Ovis aries: one gene and its partners. The protein of the gene in region 1 interacts with the protein of each later gene in a pairwise test. Links are inferred from orthologs where the notes say so. Each region holds a gene or a part of one and is shown in the gene's direction. Other genes may lie near its edges.

Region 1 (6,269 bases):
TTCCCAACACGGCTCAGGAGCACCGGTGCTCACCCAGAGAGAAGCCAGCATTCCCTCGTGCCTTGGGCAGCAGGGGCGGCCAGGTCTCGGGGGTCTGGAAAAGGTGTGATCCACTGAGGGTCTGCTGAAGGCTGGGTTGGAGTCTGTAAGGGTCCCAGAAGCAGGGCTCAGAGAAAGAACAGGACAGAGCTTCCAGGGAGCCCCCAAGTTACCCTGGCTGCCCTTCTAAGTCAAGGGAGAGGCTGAGCCACTCTAAGTGGGAGGGAGCTGCCATGCATGAGAGGAGTATTGGGAGGGGGGGAGGGGGTGCTCTGGGAGGGGGAGGCTGAGTCACCGAGGCCCCAGGGCACCTGGCAGTACCTCAACTCTGGGCAGGAGGGGCCCTGGCAGCACGACACACGGGGGCAGGTCGGGCCAGCAGCCTGTTCTCCACAGCCTGAGGCTCTGACACCCACAGACAAGTGGTGGGCCAGAAGGTGGGGCCTGGGAGGGTCAGGCACAGGAGGACTGGCAGGGATCACCCCTCCCCATCTAGGCTCTGCCCTGATCACCGGAAGCCCTAGCCCCAGGGCTCTTTATGAATTCAGAAGGTGGAGTGGGGAGCTATGGCCCCCCGTCTCTGGCTGAGGGTCTGCCTGCAGGACAGTGAGGCTTTACAGCACCTGTTGCTGACCCATCCTCACCCTAGTGCAGGATGCAGAAGCAGCCGGGCAGAGAACAGAGATGAGAGCTGGGGTACTGCTGCTAAATGGGGCTGTCCGCCCTCCCAAGCCTGAATCTGAGCCCCAGAGCCCCGACTTCACTTTAGAAAAGCTTACGTCAGTTTCTCAGTGGCCGAGAATTTGTTGCCCGAGTCCCGTGGCATGAGACTCGCGGCAGGCCTGGGGCCCTAGCTGGGGTTCTCTTACTCCCCAGAAGTCCCAAGCCCAAACCAGATGGCACTCCAGCTCAAAGCCCGCGGCCCGACATTGGGGGAGGGCGCCCCTGGCAGTGCATGGGGTCGGGCTGGCTCCCCCGCCCCCCGGAATGCCAGTCCAGCGCCGCGCAACCCCCCAACCCAGCCCAGCCCAGGCCGACCGGGGAACAAAGCGGCGAGAAGGACCGGAGGGCCAAGTGCCCGGAGGGATTGATGCAGGGAGACGTTGTACTGGCGCGAGGAGGACAGAAGGACCCGACGGATGAAGACGCCCGCGGATCTCGCAAGAAAAGTTACTTTGTGCCCGCCCTCAAGGGTGCTGACCCCCAGATCAGGCCCCGCAGTCTCACCTTTCCCAGCCGCCCCGCCGGGGGTCCGGCCGGTCCTGCTCGGTCCCTGGCCCCCTGGACGGCGGCTCCCACTGCCCCCCCCCCCTTTTTCTCCTCCTTTTCCAAGGCCGGCTCGGCGCCTCCCGCAGGAAATCCCGCCCCTCCCCCCTCCCTCCCACCGGATCGGGAGCGGAGGGACTGTCCCGGCCGCGCAGCTGGGCTGTCAGTCAGAGCCTGCGGCCCCGCCCCGATCCGTGCGAGGCCCCGCCCCACCTCCCCAGGCCCGAGCGTCTGCGCATGCGTCCAGGTGAAGCTGCGCGGGCGGGGACGGGGGGCGGGGACTAGAGAGCGAGCCTCGGCATCCTGACTGGAGCCCGGGCGCGCGACCTGAGGCTCTGGAGTTCAGACGGACGGGAGAGACACCCTGTGTATGACGGGGTGCGAGAGAGGACGAGATGTGATGGGAGCTGGGAATCGAGACCCAGGAATCCCACTTGGGAACCCCCCTTTTCTTCTTCCTCGCCCCTCGTCCTTCCCGGGACTCCCGCAGCGACCTCCGCCCGCGACCCGAAGTCACAGGCCGACGGCCCCTGGTCGGAGCGATGGTGCCACCTAGCGGGCCGTGTGGGGACGGCTCGAGGCGGCGGCGGCGGAGACCCCAGGCTCCGGGAGGCGCTAACTACCGGCTGGGGTGGCGCTTCAGCACCGCCGTGGGTCGGACAGCGCCTCCCGCCGCTCCCCCAAGTCCTGGAAGCCCGGCTTCCCGAGCCCCCAGGCAGGGACCCAACAGAAGGACCTGAAGGAACTGCTGGCTCCCCTAGCCTACACCTGGAGGCCCGTGGTGACCCTCAGTGTGCGAAGCCGAATTGGGGAACCCAGCGTTCTCCCTTCTCTAACCCCTCCTTCCTCCCGGTCCAGCCTGGGTGGTGCGGACTAGGCAGTCCGGGGTTGCGGAGGGGAGGGTCACCCTTATAACTCTTCATACGACGCTTTCAAACGCGAGCCTCCTCGAGAACTACTAGAGAGGAGCCCCAGAGGCAGGCGGGGCTCCTACAAATCCAGAAACTAGCAAGCTCTCCGCCCCCTAGTAATCGCGGCGCACATTTGTCGTCGGGCGCTAGGACCCAGGACACCCAGGAAGGTGGGAAGCAGGTGGGTGGACCGGAGACCCGGGGAGCGGCGGTGGAACACGCGCGCGCTAGGGCCGCGCGGACTCCCGGAGGTGGGCGGGGCGGGGGGGGCTGGGGCGGGGCGGTGCGCGCGCAGCGTCGGCCAGCCCCACCCGATGGATCCCGAGCCCGAGTCGGCCTCCGTGGAGGTTCCGGCCGGGCGCGTGCTCAGGTGCGGCGTGGCCGGGCCTGGGGGTGGAGGGTGGGGGGTGGGGGGGAGGAGCCGTGGCCGTGGGGTAGGCGCGGGAGAGAGCCCGGGGCACCCGAGCCGGGGATCCCCAGCCTGGGCTGAGCGGCCCCGATTGCGCGGCGCTAACGCCGCGGCCCTTTCTCCTCCAGTGCCCCGGAGCTCTTCGCCGCACGTTCCCGGTCCCAGAAGCTGCCCCAGCGCTCGCATGGCCCCAAGGACTTCCTCCCTGACGGCTCGGAGGCCCAGGCCGAGCGGCTGCGCTTGTGCCGCCAGGAGCTCTGGCAGCTGCTGGCCGAGGAGCGCGTGGAGCGCCTGTGAGAGGGGCGGGCCGGGGCGGGGGCGGAGCCGGGGCGGGCTGGGCTGCTGGACCCGGTAAGTCTGATCCGGTGGGTTTGGGACGGACCCCTCTCCCTGCTCCTCGCCAGGGGTAGTTTGGTGGCCGCCGAGTGGAAACCAGAAGAAGGTTTCGTGGAGTTGAAGTCTCCTGCGGTGAGCGGCGGGGCTCAGGGACCGGGGACCCGCCTCCTCTGCCTTCCCGGACTCCTTCATGACAGTGCTCTGGGTCCCCCGCAGGGTAAATTCTGGCAGACCATGGGCTTCTCAGAGCAGGGCCGGCAGCGGCTTCATCCAGAAGAGGCCTTGTATCTCCTGGAGTGTGTGAGTGGGGCCCCTGGGAGAGTGGAGAGGGGATTGTGACCAAGGAACCGGAAGGGCGTTTCTACTCAGGGAAAAGGTGTCTACAACCGAGTATTCGGGTGGGGGCGGGGGCTTGTAATCTGCTTTCTGGAGCAGTTGACAAGAATGTCACGCAGGGAGCAGGCTTTCCAGTCTGTTAGTGACGCTGCCTCCCTCTCCCCGTGCCCCTTCCTGGCCGGCCTGATTCTTGCCGTGATGGGTGTGAGGTGTAGCATGCAGATAGCAGAGTGGGGAATTTGCTCCCTTGGCCGTGCCACCACAGGGAGGGTTCACAAGCTGAGCTGTGGGCTGCACTTTCAGGGCTCCATCCAGCTCTTCCACCAAGACCTTCCGCTGTCTATCCAAGAGGCCTACCAGCTGCTGCTGACCGAGGACACAGTGACTTTCCTGCAGTACCAGGTATCAGCCACCCTTTATAAGAACCTACAAGAGCTTCCCTGGCGGCTCAGTGGTAAAGAACCCACCTGCCAATGCAGGAGACTCTGAATCAACCGGGTAGGTCCCCTGGAGAAGGAAACTGCAACCCACTCTTGTATTCTTGCCTGGGAAATCCCATGGACAGAAGGAGCCTGGCGGGCTACAGTCCATGGGGTCACAAAAGAATCAGACACAACTTAGTGACTAAACAACAAGGTGCTGGACACAGAGCCACGTGCTGAGGCTCCAAGACTGACAAGGGCTTATGTCCTAGGGGTGGCACTTGGGTAATATATAGGTAAGAAAGCAAATGGATGGTTGACTTCAGAGTTGAGTGCCAGGAAAAACACAGAGGAGGAGGGGCACAAGGCTAGAGACATAAATGTGGAGATCTTGATGGCATGGATATTTCAGGCTCCACCAGGCTGTAGGGAGGTGTGGCCAGAGTAGAGGCCTGTGTCTGAAATCTGGGGCACTCTAATATGAGGAGATCAGGGGGAAGATAACGGATGTGAGGAGTGTCCAGCAGCGGAGAAGACCAGGAGAGGGGGCATCAGAGAGACCACAAGGTCTTTTCAGGAGGAAGTGCTTGGCTGCGTTGAATGCTACTGAGAGATCAAGCAAGCTGGGGCATACCTGCATACATTGCTCATATACGGATGCAGGGCCACACGGAGGAACATGCGGTTCATCCAAAACCCACCCATCTTTGGAAGTGTTGTGGGGCAGCAGGATGTCCATCTCCTTCTGTTTGTCTTGTCTGTATTGTAGTCAGGAGCTTCACTTGTGACAGCTTTTGTCAAAATATTTTGGCTTATAGTTTTTTCCCTGGTCCATCAGCTATCAGCTTTTTGGGATTTGCATTTAAATCAAGAAACTGCTGTCATTTGTGCCCAGGGTAAGGCCAGTGAGAGACAGGAACTCAGAGACTTGAGACCTCAGTGTGGGGAGGGTGTTTATTAGACAGTATGGTCCTGCCAGTACCAGGGTTTGGAATCTGGGGGTGTGGTGAATGGCTTCTGTGTGGAGAACAGTTTGTTTTCATAAGTGGATGTCTGACTTCTGGTTTGTCTTTTTGAGGTCTTCAGCCACCTGAAGAGACTCGGCTATGTGGTTCGACGATTCCAACCAAGGTAAATCCCTGTTTATTTCCCTCGAATTTATCCTAGTCCCCAGCGACTAAGCACAACACTGACTGCTTACTGGGTGCTGGCTGCTGAAGAATAGCAGAGAACAAAAGCACTACCCCACAGAACTTGTGTTTAGGGGAGCTTACACAAAACACCATCACTTTGCAAAATCAGTGATCTTGGAAACCTCCTATAAGCCAAACAGGGAAAGCGTGGTCACACAGATTAGAGTTTATCCCTTAGATCAGCACTATCTGATAGGACTTTCTGTAGACAAAAATATTTAATGTCTGTGTTGTCCAGTATATGTGGCTTGTGTGGAATTTTTAATTTTAATAGATTTAAATTTAACTTAAATAGCCCCTTGTATCTAGGGCTACTATAATGGACAGTACAGCCTCACAGCCATAAGAAAAAAATCATGGCGGGGAAGAATAAAGGGCCATAATATATTGTTGAGTATAAAAAGGACCAAACAGCTGTATATTAGTACAGTGTCATTTTTGACAGAGAAAGATATGGAGAAAGACAGTCAATATGTGTGTTTGTAGGAAACAAAATGTTACCTTGGTATCCATTGGGTTTTATTTTCATTTTCCTTTATTTTCCAAGTTTTCCAGTTCTCCTAACTTTTCTCACCAGTGTTATTTATTGCTGGCTCTGCAGGAGCTCTGATGTCAGGGAACCTCTGTTCAAAGGTACCACTGATGAGACCCAGAGGCCTGGACAAAGATGCGCAGGGAGGCCCCTGTGTCTGCCCCCGTTACTCTGTGTGGGGTCTGCCTGGGGCTCCCGCCCTTGGTTACAGTTCTAGCCCTGGCCCGCTGACGTAGTCTGGGCCAGTCCCTCACACATTCCAAGGGGAGCACCAGACTGAGGAGGTGGATCAGTTGCCCACCCCCTACCCCATTCTCACCCACAGCTCCGTCCTGTCCCCGTACGAGCGGCAGCTGAACTTGGACAGCGGTGCCCAGTGCCTGGAGGGCAAGAGGAAGAGGAGAAGCTCCAGCTCTCAGTAATGCTCCCCACGTGGCCACCCCACAGGGAGAGTTCTGTGGAAGTGCTGGTGTTCGGGACCTTGGAGAATGCCTGGGCTTAAGAGTTGGGCTGGGGCGGCTCCTGCAGGGGCTCAGGGAGGCAGTATGGCTTGTGGGGGTCACGTGCACCTCAGCAGTCAGGAGCAGATGGACTGCGTTTCCTCCCCACGTCCCTCAGGTCTATTAATAAGAAGCCCAAGGCCCTGCAGAACCCCCTGCAGGGGATGGATGGAACACCTGAGAGCCCAGCAGCTTGCAGCCCACCTCCCCAGAACCACAACAGCTGCCGCCCAGAGGAGAAACCCCAGGAGTCAAACCCTGTAAAGAGCCCCGTAGGCCCCCTTCAGCTGCTGGGGTCCCTGGAACCCTGCCCTGGTCTGGGCAG
Region 2 (5,570 bases), on another chromosome or scaffold:
ATTAAACGGATTTATACCCTTAAAGCCCACAAAACACGATGTGGCATCTAGTACTCTGCATTCACTGTTATAATAACTGAACTCAAACTCCAAAATCTTGCATTTGAATACTAGTTTGGGCAAATCCCTCCACCTGTCTTAGTCTCCTCTCTCACCTGAAATTTAATAAAGCTGACTTTACAGGTGGCTGTGAAAGAGGACACCTGAAAGGGCTTTGAAGAATGTAAAGGCCTCACTATAGCGTCCATCCTCAATCTACAATAAAGCCTTAGGAGCTCACATCCAATGCTTTCTATGTTACAGGCTTTGGGTTTAGTGCTTTATATGCATTATCCTATTCATGCTTCAAAATAACTTGAAGATAAATTGTTATCCCTGTTATCCAGTTAAAAACAAACAACAACTGGGTCTAAGCCTGTGATTTACCCAAAGTCACACAGCAAGCAAGTGGCAAAGAATATTCCCAAGTCCAAACGCATCAGAAGTGTATAAAGTGAAAGTGAAGTCGCTCAGTCATGTCCAACTCTTGCGACCCCATGGACTGCAGCTCTCCAGGCTCCTCCGTCCATGGGATTCTCCAGGCCAGAATACTGGGGTGGGTAGCCTTCCCCTTCTCCAGGGGATCTTCCCGACGCAGGGATCGAACACGGGTCTCCCACCTTGCAGAGACGCTTTACCGTCTGAACGTATAGATGCGGCCCAATCTGTTGCTTGCAGGGTGATGCTTGCCCTTGTATAACCATCAGAGACTTGGGGAGGGAAAGAGTCCCCAGCAAAGCTCTCCGCCTAACAGGAGAGGGGTTGTTGAGTAATGACTACCTTGCAGAGTAACTGGAAGAAATCTATGTTTCATTCTCTCCCTTAAGTAAAATGTTCTGAAATGCTCCCCAGGGGTCAAACGCTGTGTCGGGACGGGGATGGTAGTCCAGTTAGCCTCTGATGAGCTGCTTGGCTCCCCTCTCGCTACCCCTAGGTCCCCTCGTATCCACACAGGGATCCGCGCCCCGCTTCCAGGCGACTGTGGGGCGCTTCCCGGGCCGCAGGTGAGCGGGAGCGACGGGGAGAGAGCCCACAGCTGCGGCGCCTCCGCGGCCGTGTCCCCTCCGCGGCTGGTCCTCACCGCGCACGGAGGCGTAACCACCACGCCCCCTGCCTCCCTCCCCAGCTGCTTGACGAACAATGACGGCAGCCGCCCCGCCCGCCTTTGACGTCACGGTCAACCCCCACCCTTGACTACAAGTCCCAGAGGGCCAAGCGGCGGCCAGAGCGCGACCGCTCGCGACAGCTCGGGTACAACTACATCTCCCAGGGGGCCTCGCGCGGCCGCGCCTTCCCCACTGCGCAAGTGCGGAAACGTTTGTTTCCGGCGTGGTCTCGGTGAGCGCGTCTGGCTTCTGGGCTTAGGTCCTGTGTTCTTGGTTTACAGGTTTGAGCTCGTGGCTGTACAGGTGAGGTAGTAAGTTCAGGATCGCAACCGCCGCCTCCTTAGAGCCTGCGCAGATTTCGGTGTCTGGGGAGGCTGGGACGAATGCTAGACCTGGAGCTGCGATCTGCATCGGAGATAATTCTTTGCTGTTCCTCGGCGCTTTCTAGTTTACTAATTTTTTTCTTTCCCTCCGACCATCCCGGTTAACCCCCAGAACAGCACTTTAGGGGAACTGTAAGCGCCTCCAGTTGACAGTGGAGGAAAAGGTTTAGACGAGCTAAGTGATTTGTTCAAAGACACTGCTAGTGGTTGCTGAACGGTTTCCTTGATGCTGTTTGCTTCTGAGTCCCAACTCGGTATTCTCTGCTCTGCCTCCAGATTGCTGACTCCCTTTTTTGTTGACCCAAGGGTTAGGGACTGGGCATCTGTAGCTTTTTCAAGTCTGGAGTACTCGAAAGCGTGGTAGTGATGAAGGGAGCAACAAAGGCGCTGTAACCAAGTCTGCGGGTATGTAGGTATCTTGTTTTCCGCCGACGTCTGAGTCAGTTATTCACTCGGTGTTTTTACAGAGGTGCCTTTTGGTGTCAGGCTCTATTTTAGGTACTGGGGTTACGGGCAGCAAACCTAAATGCCCAACCCTTACCTTCTAGTGAGGGTGGGTAGACAATAATCAGATATATAGTGGGTCAGGTGGTGATGAGAGAGAAGGGGGGAGAATAAAGCAAAGTAAGGAGAAACATACTCTGGAGGATTTTGAACCGAGCCCTAACTTCTGTTTAGATCTGATTCTGGCGTTCCAGACAAAAGCAGCCACACAGGAAAGATGGGAGAGGAGGCCAATGATGACAAGAAGCCAACAACTAAATTTGAACTGGAGCGGGAGACAGAGCTTCGCTTTGAGGTGGAGGCGTCGCAGTCAGTTCAGTTGGAGCTGCTGGCTGGCATGGCAGAAATCTTCGGCACAGAGCTGACCCGAAACAAGAAGTTCACCTTTGATGCTGGCGCCAAGGTGGCTGTCTTCACTTGGCACGGCTGTTCGCTGCAGCTCAGTGGGCGCACCGAGGTGGCTTACGTCTCCAAGGACACCCCAATGTTGCTTTATCTCAACACACATACGGCCTTGGAGCAGATGCGGAGGCAGGCCGAGAAGGAGGAGGAGCGGGGCCCCCGGGTGATGGTCGTGGGCCCCACGGACGTGGGCAAGTCCACCGTGTGCCGTCTGCTGCTCAACTACGCGGTGCGTCTGGGCCGCCGTCCCACGTACGTGGAGCTGGATGTGGGCCAGGGCTCTGTGTCCATCCCCGGCACCATGGGGGCCCTCTACATCGAGCGGCCGGCGGACGTTGAGGAGGGGTTCTCCATCCAGGCCCCGCTGGTGTACCACTTCGGCTCCACCACGCCCGGCACCAACATCAAGCTTTATAATAAGGTCAGAGCCCGGGGCAAGGCGCGGTGGAGGGAGGGGGCCGGCGTTTGCTGGTTGAAACTCTCTGTCCCCTCTCAGTGGCTATCACTTCCACGGTGATGGGTTTTGGAAAAGACCGTTTCAAAAATAGTTCAATCTCAGATGGTTAAACATTTCTAGGGACCTATTCTTAAGTAGGTCCTATTCTTCCCTGGTGGCTCAGACGGTAAAGCGTCTGCCTACAATGCGGGAGACCCGGGTTCAGTCCCTGGGTTGGGAAGATGGGAAGATTCCCCTGGTGGAGGGCATGGCAACCCACTCCAGTACTCTCGCCTGGAGAATCCCATGCACGGAGGAAGCTGGCAGGCTACAGCCCATGGGGTCGCAAAATGTCAGACACGACTGAGCGACTTCACTTCACTCCTGAGTGATTTATTACATTTCAACTTGGGACATGAAACACCACTGCCATTAGAAATGTCCTTTTCCCTGAACCTGATACCACTTAGGCTCAGGAAGGATCGTGTGGCCGAGGGTTGGTTTTGTGCCTTTTCTGTCTCACCTGGACCCTTTCTTCTGCAGATTACATCTCGTTTAGCTGATGTGTTCAACCAAAGGTGTGAAGTGAACCGCAGGGCCTCGGTGAGCGGCTGTGTCATTAACACCTGTGGCTGGGTCAAGGGCTCTGGTTACCAGGCCCTGGTCCACGCAGCCTCAGCCTTTGAGGTGGATGTCGTCGTGGTTCTGGATCAAGAACGGCTGTACAACGAGCTGAAGCGGGACCTGCCTCACTTCGTCCGCACGGTGCTGCTCCCCAAGTCGGGGGGTGTGGTGGAGCGCTCCAAGGACTTCCGGCGGGAATGCCGGGATGAGCGCATCCGTGAGTATTTCTATGGGTTCCGGGGCTGTTTTTATCCCCATGCCTTCAACGTCAAATTTTCAGATGTGAAAATCTACAAAGTCGGGGCACCCACCATCCCAGACTCCTGCCTGCCTCTGGGCATGTCTCAGGAGGACAATCAGCTCAAGCTGGTGCCCGTCACCCCCGGCCGAGATATGGTGCACCACCTGCTGAGCGTCAGCACCGCCGAGGGCGCCGAGGAGAGCCTCTCGGAGACCAGCGTGGCGGGCTTCATTGTGGTGACCAGCGTGGACCTGGAGCACCAGGTGTTCACCGTCCTCTCCCCCGCCCCCCGCCCGCTGCCCAAGAACTTCCTGCTCATCATGGATATCCGGTTCATGGATCTTAAGTAGCGATCCTCAGGCAGCCTTGCTGCCTGGGGCCTGGAGGCCTTCTGGCCATCACCAAGGGCAGACGGGCTGAGGGATGAGCACCTCCTGCGGCCCGGCTGCTCGGTAAATGGTGGACTACCGGAAAGCATATGTTCTACCTCTTAAAAACAGGTGGTGGCCACCTAACTCTTCCAGTTGTGAGCCAGAGGTTTCTTGGGTCCCCTAAGGTGCCACCAGAGAAGCCCCCTTTCTTGCACCGTGCCGCCTTGTGGGCTCATTTGTCACCGTTTTAGGTTCTGCATACACTGCTTATCTCGTTTGTCTGGGATGAAAGAGTGAATTCAAAGGACTCCTCCCAATTAAGTTCATACTTGGGAAAAAAGAAAAAACTATTTTAATAAATATTTTTGCCATAGCACAGGAGTTGGTATAATTTTTTAAAGCTTGGGTTTTTTCCCCCTAAGCATTATAGAAACATTATTGGAATGATTTATTACTGAATGCCTAGAGAAGAAGAAAGCCAAGAGCCCACCTGTGAGCTAAGCAGGTAAATGTTTATGATGGTTTCCTTTTCCTCTGCACTTGGGTAAATAGATCCTAAATCTGTTGTCAGTGATGGGTTTACTATGAGGAACTAAACAGGTGGTGGTAAACTTGGGGTGAGATTTCAGATTTGATATTATCCAGAGATAGCTCATTTTCTCTCAGCTACAGCTCTCTGCTCTCTTTCCTGTTGTCTGTTTAATTGGAATCAGATCCCAAGTCAAAAAGTAAATTTGAGCTTTCAGGTGATAAGCTGGAACAGCCCATTCTCTTTGATCTCTTGCAAATAATTGGTTTCTCTAGTTTGGACTTGTATTATTGAGTAAGTATCATGATGACCTTATCCATTGATTCTTTCCACAAATTTTTATCATGCACCTACTATGTGACAAGGACCTTTCTAGACGGGGGGACGAGCTGGACAGTCTTACAGAGCTTATAGTAAACATAAAAAGTGAGGTGCTGTGCAGAGAGGCTTAAGATCGGGCCATAGGAGGCGGAATGGCCAGGAGGCTTTTTAAATCAGGTGGTCAGGAAAGGCCTCTTTTGAATGGCTGTGTGCAACTGGGACAGAATCTTCCTGGTGGAGGAAGCAGGGCAAAACCCTAAGAAAGGAGCAAGCTGAGTGTGTTGGATGAAGGGAAAGGCCAGCATTGTGGGAGTGATACAGCAAATCAAGGGGAGAGGGAAAAACTCAGGCCGAGGTGGGAGGCAGCAAAGACCAGATAGTGTAGGGCTTTTGTAATCCAAGAAGAGTGGGAAATGGAGAGGCGTAAGAAGCTCCAATACTCTGGCCATCTGACGCGAAGAGCTGACTAACTGGAAAGACCTGATGCTGGAAAGACTGAAGGAAAAGGAAGAAGAGGGTGGCAGAGGATGAGATGGTCAGATACCATCACCTACCCACTCACTCAATGGACATGAAATTGAGCATACTCTTGGGAGATAGTCAAGGACAGAGGA
Region 3 (5,998 bases), on another chromosome or scaffold:
AAATCTTGCGGAAGTTCTCCCTTTTTGGCAACGTTCTAACCAGGAACCTACTCTGATTCCTAGTTCTCTAAAGTCTGAACTCCTCAGCTGAGCAGTCAAGGCCCCTGCAGGCACAGTACCCTCTAAGTGCCATGTCTGGGGCTCTTTCTGCCAGGAGTTCACAGTCCAGTTAAGGAGGACCAGGAATCAGGGACATCACAGGGGTCAGCAGGTCTTCCCTGGTGGCTCAGTGGGTAAAGAATCAGCCTACAGTGTGGGAGACCCGGGTTCAATCCCTTTGTCAGGAAGAGCCCCTGGAGAAGGAAATGGCAACCCACTCCAGTGTTCTTGCCTGGAGAAGTCCATGAATGGAGGAGCCTGGCGGGCCACAATCCATGCACGGAGTCACAAAGAGTCGGACACAACTGAGTGATTAACACTTTCACTCCTTTTTTTCAGGGGGCACCAGACTATCCCAGAACACAGAGGAATGTCACCCAAGGCAGCCTGGGAAGCAAGAGGAAGTGTCCTGAAGAAGAGAGGTCTGAGCTGAGACCTACAGGGCAGCCAGGGGTCACTGCTGCGGACCCAGGAGAAGGATGTTCCAGGTGGAGGCCACAGTGTTCGCGAAGGTCTGGAGACAAGAGGAGGTTGGGGAAGGTCCGGATTTCAGAGCCCGTCACACTCAGCCTCATTAATCTCTCTGGCGTTATCTGCCACCCTTTCCTGCCACCTGCCTTCCACACTGCCCAGCATGTGTGGTATGTTTGCTGGGGACCCTGGGATTTATTTTACGAAGGTATATACTGCACTCCCTACCAGGCCTCCTTTAAAACCAGGTAGAAGCTTTTATAATTCCCAAGGCACCTTTGGTTTTGCTCATCCCTCATGATCCTGATGACCCATTTTTTAATAGAGGAAACTGTGGTTCAGAAAGGTCCAGTTCTTTGTGACCCCATGGACTGCAGCATACCAGGCTTCCCTGTCCATCACCAACTCCCGGAGTTTACTCAAACTCATGTCCATTGAGTCAGTGATGCCATCCAACCATGTCATCCTGTCTCCTGCTTCTTCTGTGTTCAATCTTTCCCAGCATCAGGGTCTTTTCAAATGAGTCAGTTCCTCGTATCAGGTGGCCAAAATATTGGAGTTTCAGCTTCAGCATCAGTCTTTCCAATGAATATTCAGGACTGATTTCCTTTAGTTGGATGTCCTTGCAGTCCAAGGGGCTCTCAAGAGTCTTCTCCAACACCACAGTTCAAAAGCATCAATTCTTCGGCACTCAGCTTTCTTCACAGTCCAACTCTCACATCCATACATGACCACTGGAAAAACCATAGCCTTGACTAGACAGACCTTTGTTGGCAAAGTAATGTCTCTGCTTTTTAATGTGCTGTCTAGGTTGGTCATAACTTTCCTTCCAAGGAGTAAGCATCTTAATTTCATGGCTGCAGTCACCATCTGCAGTGATTTTGGAGCCCCTCCCAAAATAAAGTCGGTCACTGTTTCCACTGTTTACCCATCTATTTCCCATGAAGTGATGGGGCCGGATGCCATGATCTTAGTTTTCTGAATGTGGAGCTTTAAGCCAACTTTTCCACTCTGCTCTTTCACTTTCATCAAGAGGCTCTTGTTGTCACTCACTAAAGATCACACAGTTGGTGAGGAGGGAGGTGAGGATGCTAACTCAGATCTGACTCCAGGCCTGTTGTCCTGGACGCTAAACGGGGCAGCCGGTGCCCACCGTGGCTTCTGGGCGGTGCCCTCTGCGAGGGGGCAATTCCTTACAGGTTCCCTGCATGCTTCACTTACACAGAAGCGTTGAGAAGGCTTCAGCCTTCTGCGGGCTGAGCTCAGCCTACCCGCTTCCTCGGGGCTTGGGTCATGTCAAGTGCAGTCGCTTCAAGCATCCCATCTCCCCAGGGGCGAAGACCACAACTCCTGAAGACCTGGCTTCGTGTCCTCCAATACCTCAGCTACGTGACACTGGGTAAGTAACTTAGAACTCATCTGTGAAACCGATCTTGTGGGACTGCTGTGGGGATTAAACGAGAACAGCACCTGTGCAGAGGGGCTATCGGTACAATCTCGGGAAGCGCAGGAAAAAGGACACGCCGCCCGCGACTCACACCGGGGGTCACACCCCACTGAGACCCGCCTGTAGGCCTCGCGCAGGCGCGCTACGCACAGACCCGGCGGGCGCTCTCGCGGGCTCCACGGCTGCGCAGTCGCCCGGCTTTGCGGCTGCGCTGCTTGACGGCAGCGGTGTCCGTCTCCCGGCCGGCGTTGCCGGGGTAACGCCGCGCGCGCGCTGGGGGCGGAGGAAGGTAGGGTACCCTGGGCCCCCGGGAGCAGGCTCGAGGCGCCGAGCGCGGTGGCCGTGGCCCTTGGAGGGTAGGGGGGGGGCTCATCCGCGGGAGGAGGCCTCGCCTTTTCAGAACGCTCTCCGGGGCTAGAGTAGAAGCGGTCCTGGGACGTTCTTCCGGGCGCACAGCCACGCGGAACTGGGCCGGGACGCAGGGCCCGGCTTCTAGTTCTGCCGGAATATTAGCCCCCTTTCCCCTCCTCCGTGTATCTGCAACTCTCTCTTTTCTATGCTTTTTGTGGAAACACTGACCCCGCGGGGCAGAGTGCCGCGGGCAGAGTAAGGCGGGTGCATCTGATAACAGACCGTGCCCTAGGGGAGCCTTCTTTGGTCGCTAGTAGGGTTGCTGGGCGCCGCTGTAGGAGCCCGGCAAAGGGACAGGTTATGACACGGAGTTGGGAGAGTCTGTTGAGCCCTTGACTTTTTTTTTTTTTTTTTGCTCATTAGTTGCAGCTGCAGCTTTTCGCCTGGCTCGCACATCACATGGGAAGCCCAGTACCAGGCTCGATCCACAATCCCCCCATCAGTCTTCAAAGGTTTAACTTTTGTTTGTGTGTCTTAGTCTCGGGTTCTAACCTGAAAGCTCCCCAGAGGCAGGATTGTCTTTTCCTTTTCATCCTTGCCTCCCCTCGCCTACAGGGTACGCACTTGGAGCCTCGAGCGTGTTTTTTTGTGTTGTTGTTTTTTTGATAGGGAGAATGTGAGTTCTGAGTGGGAGGCTTTAACCAGCTGGTTGGGCAAAGTGGGCCCAGGGGGTTGGAAAATTAAATAATGGTACCTCCCCCCCTTCCTTTTTGTCTTCCTTTGTTTTGTTTGGAATAAACATTTACGGAACACCTAAAAGATGTTAGCTTGTGTGCTCAAGGGAAGAATTAGGAACAAGCCCTGCTAGAAAACTAAATGTATAGTGTACTTAACACTGTGGGTCCCTGGAGTCATACAGCCAGGTTTGGAAAAGCAAAAGGAACAGCCCCTTACAGGTGCGTGGCGCTCGGCGCCAGCCCCTAGCCCCTTTCCCCCTCTCTCCAGTGGGATGGCTGTTGGCATCGAGTTTGAATAGGCCATCCTATCTCTAGTGGCTGCAACCATGGACTGCATATTGAAATCGCCTGGACCCCATCTCTGACCTTTTGATGTAATTGTAGGTTAGGCCTCGGCATTGGGAGTTTCACAATTTCCCCAGGTGATTCTAAGAGCAGCCAAGCTTGAGAGCCACTGTTATATATGACCCCAGGTCAATTTTCTTAATCTTTTAAACTGGTTTGTTTTTTTTTTTTTTTTGGCCACACGTTATGGCTTGTAGGAACTTAGTTCCTCAACCAGGGATTGAACCTTAGCAGTGAAAGCAGAGAGTCTTAAAGTCTGCTGAGAAGTCAGAGAATTCCCTCTTAACCTTCATTCCTGTTAATTGCTGGTAATATTCCAATACGTGGATATGTTGTTCTTTAGTTGCTAAGTCATGTCTGACTCTTTGGGACCCCATGGACTGTAGCCTGCCAAGCTCCTCTGTCCATGGGATTTCCCAGGCAGAAATACTAAAGTGGGTTGCCATTTCCTTCTCCAGGGGATCTTCCAGACCGAGGGATCGAACCCGAGTCTCCTGCACTGGCAGGCGGATTCTTTACCAACCAGGAAAGCCTATATGGATGCAGCATCTTTTTAAAAATCTTTTTATTATTTATTTCCTTATTTGGCTGCACCAGGTCTTAGTTTAATGTGTGAGTGGCTTCCACAGTTTTCTAGTCCTGATCAATTTGAAGATGACATTGAGTTCAGGGACCATACGTGGGTTGTTAAAATCACACGATCGTAATGGTAGCACTGCACATTTGGAAGGCCTACTGAGAGGCGCATCCTCCTTGATGTCCATGCGGCCACACGCACAGAGGCGACGCCAGACCTCTAAAATTTGGAGGTCTTGTGAAAAGCAGGGAGTCTTGTTAGAGGAACCTTCTATGATGCCAACGTGGGTTGAAGTACAGAGTTCTTGCATCCAGTGTCAGAGCTCATTCTAGGCTTTCTTTAAGAGTATAACAGCAGTCTGAAAGGGAGAATCCTAAGCAATCTAAGCACATTAAAACAGAACTTTTCTCTTTCACTGGTTTGAGAGAATTTAATTGGAAGTGTGTGAAGTTAGTCATTGAACATTTTCTGTTTTTAAAAATCTTTTAATGTAATATATACAAGTCAAATACTAAGCAGCGGTTAAGTTATAAAAGTGAACTGCTTATAAAAGTCCATGAATTATTCCTGGAAATCCTAACTGGAAACCAGCATCCTGCCTCAAAAAAGTCGACACGTTATTTTAAGTTTTAGAATAAGTTGCCGATTGTTCAGTTGGATGCTAAATGCACTTGGCGCTTGAATAACGTAGAAGGTGAGGGTGCTGACCCTCTGTGATCATCAAAACTCCGAGGGTAATTTTCAGTCCCCCTCCATATCCCTTGTTCCTTTATATCTAAGGCTAAGGATCTGTGGACTCAACCAACCATGGATGGTGTATCACTGTAGCATTCACCATTGAAACAAGTCTGGGTATACATGTACCCATGCAGGTAAACCCCATGTGGTTCAGGGTCCGCTGTAGTTGCTTGGGTTGAGTGACAAATTGGCAAGTGAAAGTCTACTTTAAATGCTCTTGAGGGGGAATCTCTTAATTGCCCATTAACACGTGGTATACATAGTTTTGTTCTGAACACTATATGGCAAGATGTGTGCATAGATACACGTATATATGTATATGAAATGTATATAGTCATGCTCAATATTTACATCTGTTGGGGGACTCATTTAGAATCTTAGCATTTTGCTGTCTGGAATACTCTATAGCAATCTTATGAAGCAATCTGCCAACTTGCTGATTCTTTATTTATAGTTCCTATTGTAACTGGTTGTCACCGTCTTAACGTCCCTGGTTTCTCTTTTCCTTTGTCCTCATTTAATTCCTTCACGTCTTTTGGAGAGTGGCTAGAGGAATCCTTACACATGGGACAGTGCTTTTGATTTCTTTCTTTTCCCTAATCATTCATTTGTTTGGGTGCGCTGGGTCTTGCGGCACTTGGGATCTTTTTTTTTTTTTTTTAGCTGCAGCATGCAGGCTCCTAGCCTGTGGGAGAAAGAGTGGAAGAGTCGTGCATCTCTGGGAGGAGTGGGTCTGCTGGGCGGGGGGGCTCGCTTTCCTGTCCCTGCTGTCCTTGGTGCTCGTTGTCCTGCCAGGAATGATTTGTGTCTGTCTGTCTGTCTTCCCATCTGGCCCGTGGGCTCGTTAAAGGACCGGCGTGTCTGTCTCCCCTCGTATCCACAGCATGACCTCAACCATATGAGAAATGAAAAACCATACAGAAAAAAATTGAAATATTTTAAAAAGGCTAAATTGCAGCCACACCGGATACTATTTCTCTGCTGTCTCATGAGCAAAAATCAAAAAGTCTGAGCACACACGTGGCCAATGAGTCTGTAGCAACACACGCACGCTTCCTTAATGTTTATTTTTAATTATTTTTAATTATTTGGTTGTGCCCTGCCTTAGTGCTGGCAATGGGTTCTTAATTGTGCCCGGCAGACTCTTAGTTGTGGCTTGGGAGATCTAGTTCCGTGACTAGGGATGGAACCCGGGCCCCCAGCACTGGGAACACAGGGTCTTAAGCTTCTGGA

What was found. The genes of interacting proteins can lie anywhere in the genome.
Region 2: the proteins of TSEN54 (region 1) and CLP1 interact in binary tests that used the Homo sapiens proteins (3 or more experiments, as listed by UniProt). The link is inferred for Ovis aries from reciprocal best matches to the Homo sapiens genes TSEN54 and CLP1.
Region 3: the proteins of TSEN54 (region 1) and TSEN2 interact in a two-hybrid assay, tested with the Homo sapiens proteins (2 studies listed by BioGRID and IntAct). The two-hybrid records come from large-scale screens. The link is inferred for Ovis aries from reciprocal best matches to the Homo sapiens genes TSEN54 and TSEN2.

What each region holds. Positions count from the first base shown.
Region 1 is NC_056064.1:55,365,989-55,372,257, reverse strand, and holds the start of TSEN54 (tRNA-splicing endonuclease subunit Sen54), read left to right. Parts: upstream 1-2,519; 5' UTR 2,520-2,530; coding exon 2,531-2,586; intron 2,587-2,753; coding exon 2,754-2,918; intron 2,919-3,029; coding exon 3,030-3,093; intron 3,094-3,177; coding exon 3,178-3,261; intron 3,262-3,600; coding exon 3,601-3,699; intron 3,700-4,797; coding exon 4,798-4,850; intron 4,851-5,769; coding exon 5,770-5,862; intron 5,863-6,062; coding exon 6,063-6,269.
Region 2 is NC_056068.1:79,712,684-79,718,253, forward strand, and holds the end of CLP1 (polyribonucleotide 5'-hydroxyl-kinase Clp1), read left to right. Parts: intron 1-1,341; exon of another isoform or gene 1,342-2,206; 5' UTR 2,207-2,249; coding exon 2,250-2,855; intron 2,856-3,413; coding exon 3,414-4,085; 3' UTR 4,086-4,479; downstream 4,480-5,570. UniProt on the Homo sapiens protein: Polynucleotide kinase that can phosphorylate the 5'-hydroxyl groups of double-stranded RNA (dsRNA), single-stranded RNA (ssRNA), double-stranded DNA (dsDNA) and double-stranded DNA:RNA hybrids. dsRNA is phosphorylated more efficiently than dsDNA, and the RNA component of a DNA:RNA hybrid is phosphorylated more efficiently than the DNA component.
Region 3 is NC_056072.1:56,589,500-56,595,497, reverse strand, and holds the start of TSEN2 (tRNA-splicing endonuclease subunit Sen2), read left to right. Parts: upstream 1-2,275; 5' UTR 2,276-2,306; intron 2,307-2,791; 5' UTR 2,792-2,880; intron 2,881-5,998.